Linked DNA regions of Elephas maximus indicus. The protein of the gene in region 1 purifies or fractionates together with the protein of each later gene. This does not show direct contact. Links are inferred from orthologs where the notes say so. Each region holds a gene or a part of one and is shown on either strand. Other genes may lie near its edges.

Region 1 (10,685 bases):
ACTTCCATCCCTACAGCCAGGATCAGAAGTTGAAATTTTAGGCATCAAGAATTAGATTTCAAAAAGGTTCCCCTCAGTCTACTGGTTAAGGCCCTCTTTATCGATTCTCCTGAAGTGAAATACATAGATACATATAGATACACACACATCCACATATATAATCTATTAACACCTTAAACTTCAAAACACACACATACACAAGAACATGATGGCAACTCACAGTCCTGGTCCTCGAGGGCCTTCTAATTCAGCAGGCATGTCGAAATTAAGATGATACACAGCAATAAGTTCAGTACCAGGCAGTATGTAATAAAGGATCTCAAATTCAAAATTGTGTCCTATTTTGTTACCCGTATATAATGTCATTTCTCTGCTATCTACAAGTGCACAAGAAGCATCTGAAGAGAAGCGCCTTTCAACCAGCTTTGTACACCTGATATGGTATCACGCATATGAAAGGTGCAACAAATAAGAATATAATTTCAGGAAATCTTTAGTACTTTAAACGTCACAATACAGCTAAATTTTCAAAACACTACAGGTTTTGACTAAGACATAGTGAAAACATTCTACCATAAAAATAAATTCCTCTAAATCAATTTAAACTTTGTTTTTCATAACAATACTTTCATCCCATGATCTATGATGCAACAGAAGGAAATCAACCCCCAGGTTATTACTGGCCTCCCTCACCTGAATATAGCACTGACACAGTCAACTAGATCATACAATTACCTGCTGATTTTTAAATACTGTCTCACATCCGTAAGAAATAATAGTCTCCAAATATATTCAGCTGTGGATGTTTCATATGTATTTATCCTACTTTACAGTAAATTCTGCATGTTCCATATATGTATACATTCATAAATTTTGATGTGAGAATTTTCACATATATTGTGGAAATAACTTAAAATAGTTCCCTCAAATTTGACAAAGTAATTTTTCAGCTGCAAAATGAACAAAAAAGAATGATTTTTTTTTTAACACAAATTACAAAAATCTATGGTTCAACCTAAAACACACAGCAGGCTTTATAATACTTTCACCTTTAAAAAGGTATATTTACAACTACAGTGTTAACACTAGTTTTAGTATTAACTTGGACTTCTAAAAACCCATTCATTCTGAAAAGTTCAATATTTTTGCATGTCTTATTTCAATACAATCTCTTGATTCTCAGGATAAGGCTCTTGCTTGTTGTACTGCACAACCAACAGCTATTCAGAACGAACACAGAACATCTGACATGACCAATCCAATTCTCCAAATAAAGGGGAGAGATACAGATGGAAATGCAACAAAGTAACATTAATGAAAAGTATATACAGGCCAAGGACATATGTTGAAAACTCCGAAAGAAAATAGCATAAAAAATTATTTTGACTGGGACACAGTTAAGTAAGGAGAGGAACTAAGACAACACCAAACATTGGAAGTGTTGGGGCGGAGAGCAGGCAGAGCACAAACTGGGCTGTTAACAAAGGCGGAAGCTAGGGGCTTGACTCCCACTCAAACACAGAAGGCAAAGAGGCAATAGGAGATAAAGTCTAGGTGAAGTGAGTTTGATGGCAGTATCTGTTGGCAGTCTCATAAGCACTATGAAAATCCTGTGACCCAACATCCAACAGCCTCAGGGTGGGCATCCCTCAGTATATCCTTCACAGAAGAACAGCTATTAGACTAAGCAACTAAACCAAAAAACAAAACCAAACCCATTGCCATCGAGGTGATCCCGCCTCATAAAAACCAAAAACCAAACCCACTGCCGTCGAGTCGATTCCGACTCATAGCGACCCTATAGGACAGAGTAGAACTGCCCCATAGAGTTTCCAAGGAGTGCCTGGTGGATGTGAACTGCCAACCTCTTGGTTAGCAGCCATAGCACTTAACCACTATGCCACCAGGGTTTCCGAGTCCTGCCTCAAAGATACCCTGTAAGACAGAGTAGAACTGTCCCATAGGTTTCCAAAGAGCAGCTGGTGGATTCGAACTGCCGACCTTTTGGTTAGCAGCCTGAGCTTTTAACCACTGTGCCACCAGGGCTTACTCCAAAAATGACAATACTGGGTTTTTCCTCTTAAGAGTCTCAGGCAATTTTAAGGCTCCCAATGGTCACACTTCCCACCCCTGTTAAAGGAAACTGCCCACCTCTTTGCATAGATCTCAGTGTGAGATTAAAAAAGCTTAAAATGAATTTGCCTGAGTTTAAAACTCTGTATTCTCTCACTCAAGAAATCAGTCAACCAATCAAGGGCACATATTAGCAGTCTTACAATTTCTGATACTGATTTTGATGGCAGAAAGTACTAAAAGAGAGGGCTGGGGTAAGGATGACACATTTTTGCTTAAGAGCAGTCAGGCTTACGAAAAGAGGTAGGAGGCAACCATAAGCTGTTACTGACATGATTGCTTACATGATTTATTCATTTTGTTTTCATCCTTAACTTTTAACTTTATATAAAGAGCTTTGTTCCCGTTGAACACAAAAAATGGTGTTACTGTGGTATGTATATGTGCCCTTTTCAGTATCCCACATATAACTAACCTCATTTACTGACCTAGAATGGCTTTGAAAAGTATAAAACCATTAAGCAGTTTGTGATGTAAGGCTTAAAAGAAATAGCAGAAACTGATGAGACCTTAACTGTAAATATCAAACTGTGAATAACTCTTTAAACCAAATAGTGATAAAAGTCCTTTCTAGGTTTGAATGAACTACCCTTTTTCTCAAACTTTCAAAAACTGTAGATTATGCCAGGATGCCTGAACAGTCTTCTCTTTTTCAGTTTTCCGAGGGAACCTGTCATTGCTTCTTCACACAAAAATCACACCAAGTCTGTTCCCTTTTCTTGAACCACTAATTTTAAGGCACTTTTTTTTTTTTTATTTAACTCTACACGAACACACTAGTTAAAGCCAGTGAGGCTTTAGAACTGCAGGTGACAGATGCAGTCAGACAGCTCACAGATGTGGACTGGATGCACTTGGAGTCTTACAGCAGTAATCACGCTCAAAATCTGCAGATGCACATCTCGGCAGAAGGAGCAATTTCTAAAATTCGTCCTTCTCTATTAGATTTACTTTTGGGACTATTACTAAGCGCTTTTCCCGACCCTCAACCCTGCTTAGCCCTACCTACAACTTATTTTATCTTCCCCAGTTCCAGATTCTTCTTCGTCAAACCCGATTTTGTTTTTAAAAATATAATAATCAAGTGGGGCTGCTGGTATCGCCAGAACCAGGAACCGACGAAGCTGCTATTCGGAAGCCTTCCCGCCGAGGCAGAGAGGCCGCTGGAAGTTTCCTGAGAAGCAAAGGACCCCCAGCATCTTTACACGGTCCCTCCTGAGTGAGGAGGGCTCCGCAGACAGTCGGGACTCTCCCTTCCCCTGTCTTTCCCGGTTGTGGTTAACAGAAAAATAAAACGCCTCTCTTCTCGCACCGCACCGGCTAGATAACGCTCCCAGCCGGTAAGGCCCCACCCCCACCCCGTTATCCCTAAAGGGATTCCCCAGTAGCGCCCCGTCCTCGTAGGAAGCCGACCCTCCCGGGGCTCGCCGACTGATTTCCCCCACCCCAGCTCCTCCCGTCCAGTCCGTTGCCCCCGCATGCCTCACCCGAACACCGCCCCGGCTCGCACGCCGGCCCCGCGCCCCGCGCCCCGCAGCCCAGCACCCGGCACTCAGGCCGCTCCGCCGCACCCCCCCACCCCCGCCAAGGGTCGCCGACGGGGTTACCGTGGGAAGAGGGGGCTGCGGCAGAGGACGCGGCGGCAGCGCTGCTGCCGGTAACGTCGGACGCGAAGGATAAGCTGGAGGACAAGGATGATGATGAGGCGGGCGCGCTCCCCAGTCTCCATGGAACTCCCGCCCCGGCCGGTTGCTAGGAGCCCCTGAGGCTCGGGCTCCGTCTTTCGGGCTTTGTTGTTCCGGGTACAGGGCAGCCGCTGCTTCCCCGCGACAATAAATAGAGGAGACGCGGGGGAGCATAGAGACGCGCACGAAGGCTAGAGCGCCGCCGGACTGGGCGCTACTCGGTTCCTCGCTAGCCACACATTTCCGGCTCTCACTGTTCCCGTCACTTTCTCCCTCCCCTTCCACTCTGCCTTCCTCCTTGCTGGTCACCGAGCCAGACCCTTCCTGCCCTAGAGCTTGGCCAGGCACGGGTTGGGGGGGCGCTCTAGGGCAGTGGGCTGGACTTTTATTTTTTGCTTGAGAGCTGCTTTAAAAGATTCTGAAAAAAACTGTCTCCCTTGTAGATTTTTAATTGATACCTAAACATATGTACTTAATTTCTGCCGTACAATATGTTATAAACCGGCTTTAATTTTGTCGTCAAAGCCTTAGAATTTTCCCTTTGCTTGTTCAACTTACAGAAAAGGTTCACCATTCAACATAATTGGTAAAGTTAGTCCTGAACAACTAAATGAGACTTGTTTTCTGTCTGAAAAACTTTTTAATTTTTTTCAATTTAAATGCGTTCATTTACGACGTCGCGATAAAAATCTCACTACGGAATTCTAATCCTAGTCCTGAAACCAGTGATAGGGGATAGAAGGATGGATAGGTAGATGGGTGGATAATGCAGGGAACTTCTGCCACATTTTTGCCGCCTGCCCCTTCAGTATTCCTTACGGAACTTCGGTTTGCGGTCAGGTCTCCCTCGGCGCCAGGAGGCACTTCAGAGCCTTTTACACCGGTAGCCAGATGGGGGCGGGAAGGGAGGTGGCAGAGGGCGGCTGCAGGTTGGGCTGGAGAGAGGAGAGGCCAGCAGGCAGGAGAAGCGGTCGGGCTGCTCAGGCCGTCCGGAGTAGGAGGGTGCTCACATGGAAGCTGGGCGTCCAGGATTGAGGCCCTTACGCGGCTCTGCGCCCTGGAATCACTCGGGGAGAACGCGTAGGGGTGTAGTCTTGCCAGTTTGAACCGCCAGGCTGGGAACCAAACGAGGCCTTGGGACTCCTCCGGAGTGGCCTGAGAGGTGCTGCCCGCGGGCCGAGACCCGCCTAACGGCCCGAAAGGGTTGCGCGCGCGCGAACCCCGAGACCCCCAACTCCCAGGCCAGTCCGCTTGGGCCTTGATCCCAAGCCTGAGTCCATTCAGCAGCCTCGTTTCAGGAGCCTTTAGGTGAAGCCAATGGGCAGCCCCGATTTAATTATTAAAAGGCCACGAGGCAGACTTCATGGGTGCCTGGACTCTGGTGTGAATTGAGGTTGAAAAATCATGCCATTGTTCTTTTGAAAGAGAAAATGTGAGCTGAATTCTGGGAGATTTCGGAGTACACAGCCATTTGAGTATGTAATTCTTTACAGATTCGCCAAGGATGGCCGCTTGATCTTTTTGCTTTGCACGCTGAGTGTTCAGAAAAATATCCATGCATTTTAAAACATAGAATGGTGGCATTTCCATTTTGTTTCCATTTCTGTAGTAACTTACTGTTTGAATGTTGTTGTGTGCTGTCTAGTGGATTTTGACTGTAGTGAAGCCTTGTGACAGAATAGACCTGCCCCGTAGGGTTTTCTAGACTGTAATCTTTACAGCTAATCTCCAGGTCTTTTCTCCCACGGAGGAGCTGGGTGGGTTCCAAGCATGACCTTTCTGTTAGCAGCCAAGTGCTTAGCCTTTGAGCCACCAGAGCTCCTATTGTTTGAATACCAAACACCCAACTAAACTCGCCTCCAGACTCATAGTGACCCTTCTGGGGAGCATCTGCTGGGTCCCAAGTCCTCACCTCTGGTTAGCAGCCGATAACCAAGTACCACCAGGTACATTGGTTTGAATATTAAATAGTTATAGGTTATATTAGGAGCCCTGGTGGTACAGTGGTTAAGCACTCTTGCTAACCAAAAGGTCTGCAGTTCGAATCCACCAGCCGCTCCTTGGAAATCCTGTGGGGCAGTTCTAGTCTGATTTATAGGGTCGCTGTGAGTCGGAATCTACTCAATGGCAACATGTATTAGGTGTTCGGAAGCAAATAAACAAGAGGCAGTGTTAGAAAATAATGTCTATGCTGTAGTGGGGAGAGGACTTTTAGGAGGTAACATTTCAGCCCAAATCTAAAAAAAGATGGGCTGGGAGGTATGTACATGTAGTGTTCTAGGCAGAAGGAACAGAATGTCCTAAGAGCTTGCTGTGCTGGAGTCTGGGTGTGGTTGGGGCACCTTGAGTGAAGCGGCATGAGATGAAGTTAGAGAGAAGCCTACAACATTTTTTAGGCCATATAAATAGTTTGGCTTTTCTTCCAAATTCTAGGGGAAGTGAAGAATTTTAAACTGAAGAGTAAATGGCCTAGTTTACAAAGGAAGTGGCATGGAAAAGGCTCTGTTCCAGTGGCTGTTGCCACTGCTGAACATTCAATGTTATACCAGCAGTGACCAATTCTAAGATCCTTATGAGGTACCCTCCCTCAAGGAGACCAACAAGTTACCTGGCATCAAGCATGTCAATTACTCTGGACTCCCTTTTGTCGTGTGTGGATCAACAGTTTGCCTCACTATGATAGTTCCTTATTCTGGAATTGGATTTTGTTTTGCTGCCAGCTCTGCTCTGAATGGACTTATTGAATGGTTATAGACTATCACATTATCCCGTAAAATATCCCTCTGACCAAGGAATTCATTTCGCAGTGAAAGAAGTAAGACAATGGGACAAAACCATGGGCTTCATTGGTCTTATAATGTGCCTCGTTAATCAGGGCCCAGCTGAGAGACAACACTCTGTAGGATTAGAATACGCAATATACATTCTGAACCAAGACTCTTGATTAATGTGAAGACTGATACCTGGAAATGGGGAATTGCAATTGTCAGACCCTAAAATGTACTACTGGCTTAGTCAAGGTGGGGTGGGTACAGTGAAAAGCAATCCATCCCAGTTTGGGAAAATAAGCAAGCTTTATTGATTAGGTCCCTGGGTGGTGCAAAAAGTCCTACTAACCTGAAGGTTGTTGGTTAGAACCCACCCAGCAGCACCATGGAGGAAAACCCTAGCAATCTGCTTTCATAGGGATTGCAGCTGAGAAAACTCCATGGAGCTGTTCTACTCTGTAACCTCTGTAATGCATGGGATCGCCATGAGTCAGAATCTACTCAACAGCAATAGGTTTGGGATTTTGGTTTATAGATTCGAACAGTGCTACTGAAAATGTGATGTACAGACCAAAGCCAGTCTTCAAACTGCACTGGTCAACAATGAAATAGAGAAATTGAGGGGAGCATTTTGAAGCTTAACAATTTCACATTGCAGCATCATTTAAGCATGCAGTTTTGTATCTTATGAAAGCATTTATCTGTGATGGGTTGGTAATTAAAAACAAACAAACTGTGGTGCAGTGAATTACTTAATACAGCCCTTCTAGCCATGCACGGTCTTTGTAACTCCCACAAAATGTTTGGGTGGGACTATGCAAATAAGGTGCTTGTGGCCCACCGAGGGGATTGGAAAGCTTGCTAATAATGCAAATCAGGTATATGGAACCCTAATGAGGGGATTGGTTAGTTTTGCCATCCCACTAGACTTAAAGGGAGCCAATCCCAGTAGCTGAGAGAAGGTGATCTTACTGCCACCAAGAAGAGGAGCTGAGTGAAGCACATCCTTTGGACCCAGGGTCCCTGCGCTGAGAACCTCTTAGACCCAGGAGACATAGTTGTAACACTGGAGATGGCAAGAAGCTGTGGCAAGCACTGCAGAGTCCATTGGCAGAGAAATGGCAGCAGCAGAATCAGGAGACAGTGCAATGGGCTTCCCAGCCCATGGAGCGAGGCGGCTACAGTGGGTGTGCAGCCCCACAGAGCAAAACAGCTGAGCGCCTTAGGGCTGAGGCTTACTGGTGGAGCAGGATGCCTTTGGGCACTTATTGGCAGAGCTAAAGCAGTTTGTAACACTTCCCTGAGCAGGGCAGAGGCCAGGCCAAGAGTCTGAGAGGCCAAAAACCAGAAAGAGGGCTGCCTGCGGGCGCATAGCTGAGAAATCCTGCCCTGATCAAAGAAGTGTATCCTGAGTCATTCCTTATCCTGAATTGTAACCTATTACTTCCCTAAAAAACCCCTTAATCATAAATATAGTCTACGAGTTCTGTGTAGCCATTGCAATGAATTATCAAAACCAGCAGAGAAGTAGAGTGCCGTGGGAGGGAAGGCTGGTGTCAGAATTTGTCAAAAAGATTGGAGAGAGGAGGTATGTCTGACCACCTCACAGGAATCAGCTTTGGACTGATCTTGATTCTCTTTTCCCCTCGAAATTACACAAGGAGTTCTGACCCCACCCTCATGCCATTTTTACACAAACAAACTGATTCTTTATCACAGGTAGTTGGAGAGGCACTGGTAGATTATTACTTGTTATACCAACAAAGCTGTAGCTTTAGGGAACTTGGGAAAAAAGAAAATCAGGCTACTGGAATATGTTGGCTACTTCTTGCCTACTTCAGTGCTATGAAATAATCAAACTATAGTTCAGCATGGCCTTCCAGAGATGGGTAATATGGAGCAAAAATTATACAGCATTGTTAGATGGGTCTTTTCTGCCAATGGTTATTTATCTTGGACTGATAAGGATCAGATAATATCTCTTCTGCCAATTGAAATAACTAAATTTTCTGCCCCACCAAAAGTTAAAGCACTAACTAGGAATACAGAGACCCAGGATAACCATGCGATCAGGGATGCCTCATTCCCAAGGAATCTTCCCCAACATCTGCTATGCCCCTTAAAAAAAAAAAAAAAAAAAATCATTGCCCCTTCCCAACTGAAAAAGGGAAAAAATAACTCCCATTATGCCAGTTGAGTGGTGTACAACTAAAGGGATGGAGTCTGATTAACTTCGCTTCATAACTCCAGCCTGTTCCTACCTACTGCCCTCAGATAGAGTCAATGGCAAAAGCCATTTAACTGAGATCTAGGTAGATGGAAGGAGTTGCCAGGCCTGTTTCCAAGAGATAGAAACTGGGAGGGCAGGGTGCATATTCAAAACTTGTGACTCAAAGAGATGTCTGATAACAAGTTAATGATTTCTCCCTAAATGACATTGGCAGCCAACTAAAGTTTTAAGGTATTGCCAAAAAGTCCACAGCCTGGCAAGAGGCACCTACTGTTGTGCTGTCTCAAAGGCAGCGTCCAGTCTCCATACCTATAAAAAAAAAAACCTATAGAAAGGTGATTTAGACTGTCAGTGTATTCCTGAGAAGGTAATTCCTTCTCACTGTCTCTCTAAGGCAAGATCTTGGAGGGCAATGGACGAAGGAAATTTTGGCACTTTAAGTGACAAAATGTCTTAGTCCTCTGCTGGAGAAGTGGAGTCCTTATTACCCTCATCCAACATTATATAGCGTTTGCTCACAACCACTGTATGTTGCTTATCCTTTATGCCTTTTCTCATGAGTTTTCGTTATTCCATTTCCCTCTCCCTTGTTGTATTTTTTTTTTTTTTGTATATTGGTGCATTGGAAATAAATTTATTATTCATGATTTAGCAACATCTGGCCCTGATCAAGATTGATAACACACAAATATCCTAAAATTTGAAGCTAGATTCAATGTCTAGAGGTGAGTTTGAGTTTTCTCCTGCCACTGGAAAGGGATCTGAGTATATTATTGCTGCTTTTCTATTAAGGGAAACTGTAGATATGGGAAAATCAGTGTGTGTGTGTGTGTGTGTGTGTGTGTGAGAGAGAGAGAGAGAGAGAGAGAGAGATCATATAGGCACTGAGAAGCCAGATGATGATGGGTGTTGTTGTTGTTAGGTGCCGTCAAGTTGGTTCCGACTCACAGTGACCCTATGCACAACAGAACAAAACACTGCCCAATCCTGTACCATCCTTACAATGGTTGTTATGCTTGAGCTCATTGTTGCAGCCACTGTGTCAATCCACCTTGTTGAGGGTCTTCCTCTTTTCTGCTGGCCCTGTACTCTGCCAAGCATGATGTCCTTCTCCAGGGACTGATCCGTCCTGACAACATGTCCAAAGTATGTAAGACGCAGTCTCTCCATCCTTGCTTCTAAGGAGCATTCTGGTTGCACTTCTTCCAAGACAAATTTCTTTATTCTTTTGGCAGTGCATGGTATATTCTTCACCAAAACCACAATTCAAAGACGTCAGTTCTTCTTCGGTCTTCTTTATTCATTGTCCAGCTTTCACATGCATATGACGTGATTGAAAATACCATGGCTTGGGTTAGGCGCACCTTAGTCTTCAACTTGACATCTTTGCTTTTCAACATTTTAAAGTGGTCCTTTGCAGCAGATTTACCCAAGGCAATGCATCGTTTGATTTCTTGACTGCTGCTTCCATGGCTGTTGATTGTGAATCCAAGTAAAATGAAATCCTTGACAACTTCAATCTTTTCTCTGTTTGTCATGATCTTGCTTATTGGTCCAGTTGTGAGGATTTTTATTTTCTTTCTGTTGAGGTGCAATTCATTCTGAAAGCTGTGGTCTTTGATCTTCATTAGTAAGTGCTTCAAGTCCTCTTCAATTTCAGCAAGCAAGGCTGTGTCATCTGCATAACGCAGGATGTTAATGAGTCTTCCTCCAATCCTGATGCCCCGTTCTTCTTCATATAGTCCAGCTTCTCGGATTATTTGCTCAGCATGCAGATTGAATAGGTATGGTGAAAGAATACAACCCTGACACACATCTTTCCTGACTTTAAACCAATCAGTATCCCCTTGTTCTGTCCAAACAACTGCC
Region 2 (10,613 bases), on another chromosome or scaffold:
AATAAAATACATTATAAACCTAACATTTGGTCCACATAAAGGATCTGACTCAGAACCTAAAATTCTTTTATCAAGCATTTATTCAATCCCCACAACTTAAAACACACTTTAGAATGCAAATGCATTAACACTATTAAAAAAAAAAAAAAAACTGTTACAGGCACATCAAGTAACCTGACCATAAAGCAGAATGTTAATCACCCAATAATAGCTCATGTTTTTGCCAAACACTGCACTAAGCATTTTTCTACGGCTATTGCATTTAATCGTCTAAACAACCCTATAAGGTAAATACTACTAGTTCTCATCTTACAGATAAGAAAATTGAAAAATGGAAATAGCTTTCCCAAGGTGAGAGAAATAGATGATAGAGTCAGAATTTGAAACCAATTATTTGTGCACCAAAGCCAGCATCCTTCACTAAACAATGCTGTCTCTTGCATCAAAGTCAGACACTCATGCTATGGAAAAAGTATGGATTAGTCTCTAGAAAAAAGAATGTTTTGATAAAAATGCATGAATTTTTTTTTTAAAAAAAGCCAACTCACAGTTTTCAATTCCATCAGGACTTGTTCATCTACTCCATCATCCAGAAATATGTCTCTCACATCATTAATAACGTCTTCAATCACAGATCTGTATAACTTAGGCTTCGAAAGAAAAATGAAAGACTGCTGAAAAAGACTATTTTTTATATATTAAAATGCATAGTAGGTTTTCACAAACTCAAGACAAATTAGTCATTTTAAAAATGACCTAAAATTTATAAATGTTTAAATTATTTAGTGCAATTCATAAGCCGAATGCCCTTATACATACGAGGTCCACACAATTTCCAGTTATAATTTCCTCTCCTGTAGTCAAAACACCTAATGTGATGCTCGATAATAGCTTTATGGGTTGCTTATGTCTAGCTTCTATTATTCCCTGCTTGGTGTGAACCCTGTTTTATCTCACAACCTTGTCACTAAGTCTTAGATTTTTAAAGAAGCTTAGGAAACCCTGGTGGTGTAGTAGTTAAGAACTACGGCTACTAACTAAAAGATCAGCAGTTTGAATCTACCAGGTGCTCCCTGGAAACCCTATGGGGCAGTTCTACCGTCCTTTAGGGTCACTATGAGTCGGCATCAACTTGACAACAGGTGTGTGTGTGTATATCCTGTAGTCATTTCCCTGGTAATAAATCTGGAACCTAATGAGGATTGAAGTTCAAAAATCACCTAATTTCTGTTCCTGTGACCCACTCTGTATCTTAAAGTTCTATCATTAAATTGTTCCCATATCCACAACGATAGGTCTCAACGTCCGAGACGAACCAGTTATACTGATCTCTTTCCCAGGACCTCCCAAAATTTATTATTACTATTATGGCTAGTATTATTTGGTGGATATTATTGTTGGTACTACATTGCTTGGTATTATTATTACTATTATTGTTGGTACTTGGCAGCTGGCTTCTAGAAGATTGCCAGGATAAAATGCGAGTGTCTATGAAAACCACTTTCAAACATATTTTTTAAAAACTAAAAGGTGAGACGTAGAACAATTAGCCCAACCCACATCCTATTTTTAACATGTTAGACAAAAGGAAGTTTGCAGCCAGACTGGTAAAACTAGAGGTGCCTTGTTATTATCACATACACATATGGTTAACATTTCTTTCTTAAAATTATTTGTCATTATTTTTATTTTATACCTCGTTTAAGGTGAAAGTTATTGGCTGCCCAATAAAGCCAAGGATTTGCTCTCATAAGCAAACTTCAAAGAGAAATAAATGTTTCAGTAGCATTTCTACCTGCAATATTGTTATCACAGGGGAACCCTCAAAGAAAAATGTACTCTTGTCTGACAAAAAACATGTACTGAGTTTGTTAGCACAACTCGCATCTGCCATTAAAAACCATTCATTTCTTCTCATGACAACCAGAAAAACCATTTATTTCTCTAAGTTCTCACCCTTGCTATGCCAATCACTAACTGGCTTTGTCATTTTGCCAAATTTGCCTTTGTGAACTTAAAAATGATTTATCCGTAAAATGTACATCTCAACAATGCCTCCTTATTTTAGCATTCCGATTCTACTTACAAGGGAAGTGTATCTGATTACGGGTATCATCTATACCTACATTGATTTATCTACTGAATTACAAAACTACATGGATAAAGTGGGGTTTTTTTTTTAACCAATAATGACCCCCTCGAGGCACTATAAAGGAAGCAGGTATTCTTAAATTTGTAGCATAAATCTCAAATTGACAATACAAATTATTTTGCCAGCAAATGAGATGTTTTGGTGTTCCTGAAGTCCGTTAACCCTAAAAATCTTTTGCTTAAAGATACAGACATTTACAGACAGAAATACGCTATCTTCTGGTACTCGCAATTTAATTAATCAATCTTGTCTTAAGGCTTTCCTTTTCTACATTAAATGAACCTATGACTTGAACACTTAAAATAGGAAGGGAAATATGTATTCTTCATGAAGTATATACACAAATAACAACTTAGGAAAATTGCTCGTGAGTTGAAAAGTCCTCAAAATATTGATGCTTTATTTTAAAGTACATGGGCGCACAGGCACTATGTGATATAAAACCAAAATCAAACCAAACCCATTGCCTTCGATTCAATTCCAACTCATAGAGACCCTGTGGAGCAATATCCAGGCCATTACTTAAAATTCTAAACTTTACTTGAGCCAAAGTGTTTCTTGCACTTAATGCAAGGCAATTTAGGAGATATTCCAAACTTAAAAACTGGTAAATTAGAGGGCAATTAGTGACACTACCAAGTGATTAATTAGAAGGTTCCTTTCAAAAGTCTTAGAAGGTTCCTTGGGCATACAAAATGATTCAAGTTATATACTTCTGACAAAAACATCCATATTATAGCAATTAAAAGAATTTTAAACCCAGAATGCACAGCAACATTGGAAAATAAACTGGATTAATTTTATACTGGATACCATGTTATCATCCAATGCAATACAGGGAATCTACTTAGATTTTTAATTTTAAAATCCAGTTTGCACTAAATCTCCTCATTCGTGACTCACAATTCCCCTACACATAAATTTACCGTGGAGAAAAAATCCTAAGGTAAAGCTTTAGCCACTTATCTATGACCTCTGAAAAGCTTTCTGTCTTCAGATATTAGCAGAAAACATATTGAAACAATAAAAAAATATGAAATATCAGGAGCTAGATTTCTAAGTTTCCTGAATACTTGATAAAATTATCCCTTCCCAAATCAAGTCCTCTGCAGCTGACACTTAATATAGACAGCATTTTTAAATTCCCGACAATAAGGTACACACCTTCCAGTACAAGAAATAGGATTAAACCCTGTTACTTAAAATTTCTCTTTAAAAAAAATAAATAAAAATAGAAGGGATAGTAATTCGGAATGTTTTCCCCTGGCAAACCAAAGAAAGCAAACCCTAGCTGCAGCATCAAAACATCTGAGGCTCTGAAAGCAGCCCCCCTGAGGGGCGAGATTACAGCGTTAAGAAAAGGACCCAGGAATAAATTGAGCTCTACACACGCCAGCCTCTCGCCTCGGGAGCACGAACCTCCCAGCCCTGCTCGCAGCAGCTCTCACTATTTAAAGCCGGATCTGGTGTTTAAATGGAGAGGCGGTGACGTAGGCCTGAAAAGCACCTTCCCATCCTGGCAGAGTCTATATTAGAGAGCGGCAATGGCTCTATATAAACAGGGCAGCCAAAGGGAGGAGGACCACAAGGCTCAGGGACTGAAAAGCAGGCTAAGCGGCCGCAGCCATGATGGATCGACCCGAGTCGCCAACGGTACGGTGTCGGGCGGCCGCGGGCTGGTCTGCGGCATTCGGGACCGGGCAAAGACGTGTTTTATTGGCACAATAAAAATAAGAGAGTCGGGGGGACTAGTGATCACATTGCGTTGGGGACTGAAAAGGTTTTTTATGTGACTGCTTTTTGCAAACCTACGTGATCGCAAGTAACCAAAAAATGGGCAAACGGGGGAGAAGGAGGCAAATTTTAAGGCGAAAGCAGGGGCACTTTGACCACTGTAGGCTTTTTTTTGTTTGTTTTGGTGCTTTTGCTAGTCGGAGATCCGATGGGGGTTTTGCTTCCCCTTCGCCATTTTACCGATTCGGAAGGAACCGAGATAAGTACTTTTCAACCTTCGTCCGTTTTCCTTAGACATAAAATGGCCCCAATGAAGGGTCCCAAAGCCTAAGCCAGGAAAACCCAGACTAGCCCCCGAAGTGGCATCAGCCTTCCACTGCATTCAAGTGGACCGCGGCGGGGCTTGGGGCTGGCCCAATTCCCCAGACACGGTTTTTGTTTTGAGGTGCTCGGGGAGCCCTCGTCGAGCTCGGACGGGCCCACTTCGGGGGAGGCGGCGGCTCCCCTCCTCCCTCCCGGCGCCGGGGTCTGGGGCCGGGCCGCGCGCTCGCCCCGGCCAACCGCCTCCGCGGCCCGGCCCGCCCCAGGCCCCGCCGCCGCCCCCTCCCGCCGCCGCCGCCGCCGCCGCCGCGCGAGCCCTCGGCGCCCCCCCGCGCCCGCGCCCGGCGCCCGGCCCGGTCCGCCCGAGGCGGGAAGCGGCGGCGGCCGCGCGGGCGGCTGAGGAGAGTCGAGGCCGGGTGTCGCCGCCGTCCCCGCCCCCGCCCGGTCCGGCCGTTGCTGCCGCCTGCATGAAGCCCCCGCCGGCCACCGAACCACGTCCTTACCACGGTGTTTGTGTTTGCCGAGTTCGCCATTTCCACACACAACACAAATAAGAGGGGGGTGAACCCCGAGAAAACAAGGTAAAAACAAAATCAAAAAAGAAAAAGCAAAACCAAAACACCCGGAGGTGACCCGAGCCACCGCACGACTGGGAAAAATTGTAAAATCGGATCCCGAAGGTGTAGAGAGGGGAGCGGAGAGAGGAGCGGGGGGGCACTCCTCCCGGGGCTAAAAACCTCGAGAACCGCCTTCCCCCAGAAAAAAAAAAAAAAAAAAAACCAAGACCCTCCGGGGGTCCGGGGGGCGTTGCCCGCTCCCCACCCCGCGCGAAGGAGGGAAACCACCACCGGTCGCCGCTCCCCGCGCCGCCGCTGCTGCCACCGGCTGCAGCTCCAGCCGTCCGGTCCGCCCGCTTCTCCCCTTTATATAGCGAGCCAACGCGCTGCGCGAGCCGCCGCCGCCGCCGCTCCGCCGAGAGACAGGGCGGAGGGGGAGGGAGGGACGGAAAGGGCGGGGGCAGAGGTGGGCGGGGCCGAGCGCGAGACACCGCGAGAGCCGCGTGCGCAGGCGCGCCGGGGCGGAGGCCGCCGCGGGCCGCGTCGTCACGCGCCGTGGAGAGTGCTGGGCGGGCGGAGCCCGGGGACAGGAGTAGTGAAGTGGGGCTGTGGCTTCTCCAAGTATCGCGTGATCACGTGGTTGGCACTCAGGCGGAAGTCTTCGGAAGCCCATTTGGGTTGAGAAACTTGCAAAACACTTGTGGGAAAGGCGCGAATTCTAGTAACACGGGTATCTAAAGCTGGCTTGTTCTGCCTCGTGGCAGACGTTTCCGCGCCGCCCCGTGCTGGAGGAGCTCCGAATGTGACAGGGGCGGTGGCAGCAGCCTACACAGGCATGGCCGCGGAGGAGGGCCGGTCACGTGTTCTGTACCGGCCCGTGTCGAGGTCCGACCTGGGGCAGTTTTAAGTGCGGAGTCATCTCTCCCGGCGTGAACTGAGATCACACTGCAAGCTGCGCCGTGTTAGCGCTTCTCACTGAGTGTGGACCTTCTCTCGGTTGTTTCTGAAGGGGCTGAAGGCTGATTTGGGCCTATGTTTTCGTGTTCCAGAAGCAGTAATCTGAAACCGCCGAGCCGTTTGTCACCGTATTGAGGCCGGTGACGGAGTTCCCAAAGCTTCGGCCATTATTAGTTGACGTACTTTAAATAACTTCTCACGCTCGTGGAAATGCCAAAAACGAAACGGAACACCATCACTGGAATAAGGAAGTACAATAACTTTTCCTGATTTTTTAAATATTGCGGCTCCATATGGCCAGCACGTAGTGACTAATCATATCTGAAATGCATGCCCTTGACCCACCAACTCTCGTGGCGTCTCGCTGTGAGAGCGAGCAGAAAATGCCCATGTCTTGGAGTGCAATTCAACAGGTTTTTCCCACATTTGCCCAAGCAAATTCTGCTTTTATATCAACATTTCACGCGGGACAGAGAATGTCCTGTTTAGAGAGCAGACCTCGCAGTACTTAATTTTCTTGTCTCTAGGTGTTTTGATGGAAACCCTGGTGGCGTAGTAGTTAAGAGCTACATTTGCTAACCAAACGGTCGGCAGTGGGAATCCACCAGGCGCTCCTTGGAAACGTTATGGGGCAGTTCTACTTTGTTCTTTAGGGTCGCTATGAGTCCGAATCCACTGGACGGCGGTGGGTTTGGGTTTTTTTTTTTCTTAAGGCATTTTGACAAACGTGTAATCTGAAGCAATGAGGGAGTTTATCCTCAAAGTGCAAACAAAAAAAATGCCAGAAGTTATATGCTGGTGCAACCAGGTTTAAATGACTACCAAAGGCACCCTACCAAGAGGGAGGAAAAAATGCAGCCTCCCCGGATCCGAAGGAAGGGATTAGAGAAAACTAAGGCCATTAAGACTCAGAAATGGGAGATTATGGAATGAGTTTGTGACTAGGCAAAAACCTTGAGATTTCTTCTAATACCATCTGATTACCCACTTTGCTCTTACCACTCCGTCGCTTCACAGTTGACTGCCCAGCTGCCTGATTTGGGACCTTAAAAATACACAGAAAACCATACTATTTTTGGAATATTGTATAAATTATGATCCCATCAACACTCATAATTCACTTAATGTTCAGGTGACAACCAGAAAGATTATACAAAACAATTTCCAGTAAGTTTCACTGCATATTATTTTAAGAGAACGTGTTACCTCCATATATGCACACCCCCAACTCTGCACGTGCCATCTCTCATCTTTCATCTTCTTTTCCTCCCTACGACTTGGTATTGTTAATGAACAAATGTTTTGCAATCGGTTTAGATTAAGACTACTTGCATACAGGAGATGGGGATAATCCACGAGATTTGCTCTCCACAGCAGTGCAAATGGTTAACGTGCTCGGCTGCTAATCTAAAGGTTGGCTGTTGGAGTCCTCGCAGAAATGCTTGGGAAGAAAGACTTGGTGATCTACATCGAAAAATCAACCATCGAAAATGCTAAGGAGTACGGTTCTACTCTGACACACGGGGGGTTGCCATGAGTTGGAGTCAGAGACAACTTGATCACAATTGGGGAGGATTGATCGGGGACACAGGTGACGTTAGTAGTTCCATGGTAGAATTCTTGTCTTCCATGTGGGAGACCCAGATTCAATTCCTGGCTGATGCACTTGATGACCAGCCACCACTCATCTGTGGTGGTTTGCGTGTTGCTAGGATGCTGAACAGATTTCAGCAGAGCTTCCTGAAAAAAGGCCTCGAGATCTACTTCTGAAGATCAGCCACTGAAAACCCTGTGGATCATAAATAACAGTCTTATCCACAACTGATCGTGGGGATGGCAGGGACCTGGCAGCATTTCGTTCCATTGTGCATGGGGTCGCTGTGAGTGAAAGGCTACTAACAACAGCAAAGAGACCTATCAGTCAGTCACAATGAGTGGACCTTATTTGGATCCTGCTTCAAATAAACTGTAAAAGAAAATGATGACAATTATGAAACTATTGGAAACTGAACAGCTCCTGGATATTTAGTGAAATTAAAGTTACTGATAAATTTTTAAGTTTGATAATAGTTCTACTTTAAAATACCCTCTCTTTCAAAAATGTGTACTGAAAAACAAAATAATGAGACTTGAATTTGCTTCAAAATAACACAAAAGCAGAGACATAGATGGAGTATTAATGAGGCAAGTTTGGCCATGAGTGTGTAATGGTTGAAGCTGAGGAAGAGTACTATCTGAGTTACCTGGTGCTGCCATAACAAAAACTTTAAAGAACAGAAATTTATTTTCTCACAGTTCAGGTGGCTACAAGTCCAAATTCAGAGTGTGGCTCTAGGGGCAGTCCTTCCTTGTCTTTCAGCTTCTAGTAGCTGCCAGAAGTCCTTGTGGCTGCATGTGTCTCCTCTGTTTTTCTCTTCTCCTTTTATGTGTCTTCATCCGCTCTGCTTTTTTTCCTAACTCAGAAATGAGTAAATTTAGAGCCCAACCTACTGGGTATGACCTAATTAGCATAACAAAAACCCTATTTCAAGGGCCCTGGGTGGCAGTTGTTAGGAGCTTGGTTGCCAAACGAAAGGTGGCTTGAACCTCCCAGCAGATGTGGCAGTTGGCTTCCGGTTTCCGTAAAGATTACAGCCTTGGAAACCCTGTGAGGCATTTCTACTCTGTCCTATGGGGTCGCTATGCATCAGAATGTACGCCAGGGCAAAACAGAACAGATTTTGGTTTTTTGTTGTTGTTTGCGTGGCACAACAAACAGTTAACACTTGGCTGCTAACCTAAAGGTTAGCAGGCGCTACAGAAGAAAAGCCTTGTGCTCTGTCAAAGGTTACAGTCAAGAGAACGCTATGGAGCAGTTCTAGTCTGTAACACATGGGGCCACTTGAGCTGAAATTGACACCAACGGGTTTGTTTGTTTTCAGTTTAGGGGCCTGGACTTCAATACATGTTTGGGGGAGACAATTCAACCCATAACGGGTACCCATAACCAAACCCATCAATTCCAACTCATAGCGACGCTGTAGGACAGAGCAGAACTTCCCCACAGGGTTTCCAGGGCTATAAATCTTTACAGAAGCAGACTGCCACATCTTTCTCCGGTAGGAGTGGCTGGTGGGTTCAAACCACTAAACTTTCAGCTGGCAGCCAAGCGTTTAAGCACTGTGCCACCAGAGCACCTATAACAGGTACATTGGGGTTTATTAGACTATTCAACCTGTTTTTACATACGTTTGAAATTCTGTATTTAAAAAAATGCTAAAGGGAGCCCAGTGACACATTATTTTACAATCAGTGATGGTTCTTTATTCACACAGCTTGTCATCAGTATTCCCAAGAAGGCCTGGTGTTGTGTTATAAATGTAATTAATATTAAACACTGTGTTTAATTACATGGGTTTCCTCTTTCTCTGATTCTTATATCTCAGCTATTTTTGCCTCATCTTGAATCACAAGTTAAACAACTGTGATTTGGGACAGTTAAAAATGGTTAAATTTACAGGATGCTTGTTCAGATAGTTTTATAAAAAATATTCTTCTAGTGGCCAAATGATCTTTGATTTATTTGCTGCCTTTATCTTCTCGCTTGTATGCCTTCAACTTGATAGAGGCTTCTGATATGACAGACAATTCTGCATAGACAACTTTCTAATAAAATACATCATAGCAGATAAATCTGTAGTTAATCAACTAATTATTACTGAAACTAAATAGGCTGGTTTGCATTCTTTTCCAGAACCTACCGTTCTCTGGTAGTATGGATTAATAAGTAGAGGTAACAGAGATTATAAAACAAAACGTGGCAGGAAGATTATTAGAGATTTCAGGCCAGAATGGAAGTACGGAATCTGCTTAAATACTGTGGGCTGGACTTTGCTTTCACAAGGGTAACTGTGAGAAAATCGGGTGTGATCCAAATACTTTCTTGAGAACCAAGACTCTGGGCTAATGTTTTTGGCTTGCTCTTCAAAAAAAAAAAAAAAAAAAAAAAGTGGCATAGCCAGAAGCAAAAAGAATGAACATTTAAATAAACCAAAAAAAAAAAAAATTGCTTTTTAAAAGACCAAGAAATTTGCCATTTTGTGTTCCCTGCCTAACTGAGAAGCAGTAATAATGATGATGGACTTATTTGGCAGCCTTTGGTTTTTAAAAAACTTTAATCCCAAATTATCTCCTTTAGAGCTTGTAACAGTCCTTTGAGATAAGTAATATTATCCCTTTTTTATGAATAGGAAACTGAGACTCAGGTTAAGTAGTGACTTAATCCAAGCTCATATTGCTATTTACTGGTGAAATCGTAGTGATACAAATTTAAGGTTCTTTCTACCTGTCTTATAGAGGAAAAGCTCTTGGTCCAAGAGAATGTGAAGGGTTTGAATCAGATAATATTGTTCTTGAGTTTTTCCAATACGTGTTAATGATATCATGGGTTAAACTTCATTTGGCAGAAGAGCAACCCTACAGTATGCACATTTGAGACTTGAAGAAGAGAAACTTTACCCCAATTAAATATAATCGCCCTCATAAAAATATCATCAAAAAGCATTTACTAAATCATCTCAGATAACTGATTTCAGTGTTGCTACATCAGTATAAAATCATCATTTTCCTTTTCCAAATAGCATGTACTCAATTATTGAATTTGGCAAGAACAGTTATTTTCTAGCCATATTCTGTATAATCAAAACATTTTGGCCTAGCTTTATAATTACATATTAAATATTTTCATAAAACAAGAAAATGTAGGATGGCCATTTATAGTAGTAGAAAATTGGGAAGGGGAATTCTTTCTCTTTTACCTGTTGGACTAGTGGTATAACTCCCACTTTTTTATGTAGATAGAAAAATCAGTTGTGCCTGTGGCAATGTCATTGCACAATAAATTAGAAGAAACA

Evidence for each region. Proteins that work in one complex are often made in the same cells at the same time.
Region 2: the proteins of TBPL1 (region 1) and GTF2A1 purify together in Homo sapiens (affinity purification with mass spectrometry; 5 studies listed by BioGRID and IntAct, counting the BioPlex papers as one, with this or other methods). This does not show direct contact. The link is inferred for Elephas maximus indicus from reciprocal best matches to the Homo sapiens genes TBPL1 and GTF2A1.

The regions. Positions count from the first base shown.
Region 1 is NC_064819.1:203,375,116-203,385,800, reverse strand, and holds the start of TBPL1 (TATA box-binding protein-like 1), read right to left. Parts: upstream 4,030-10,685; 5' UTR 3,863-4,029; coding exon 3,741-3,862; intron 1-3,740. UniProt on the Homo sapiens protein: Part of a specialized transcription system that mediates the transcription of most ribosomal proteins through the 5'-TCT-3' motif which is a core promoter element at these genes. Seems to also mediate the transcription of NF1. Does not bind the TATA box.
Region 2 is NC_064828.1:94,357,039-94,367,651, forward strand, and holds the start of GTF2A1 (transcription initiation factor IIA subunit 1), read right to left. Parts: upstream 5,187-10,613; 5' UTR 4,741-5,186; coding exon 4,711-4,740; intron 651-4,710; coding exon 549-650; intron 1-548. UniProt on the Homo sapiens protein: TFIIA is a component of the transcription machinery of RNA polymerase II and plays an important role in transcriptional activation. TFIIA in a complex with TBP mediates transcriptional activity.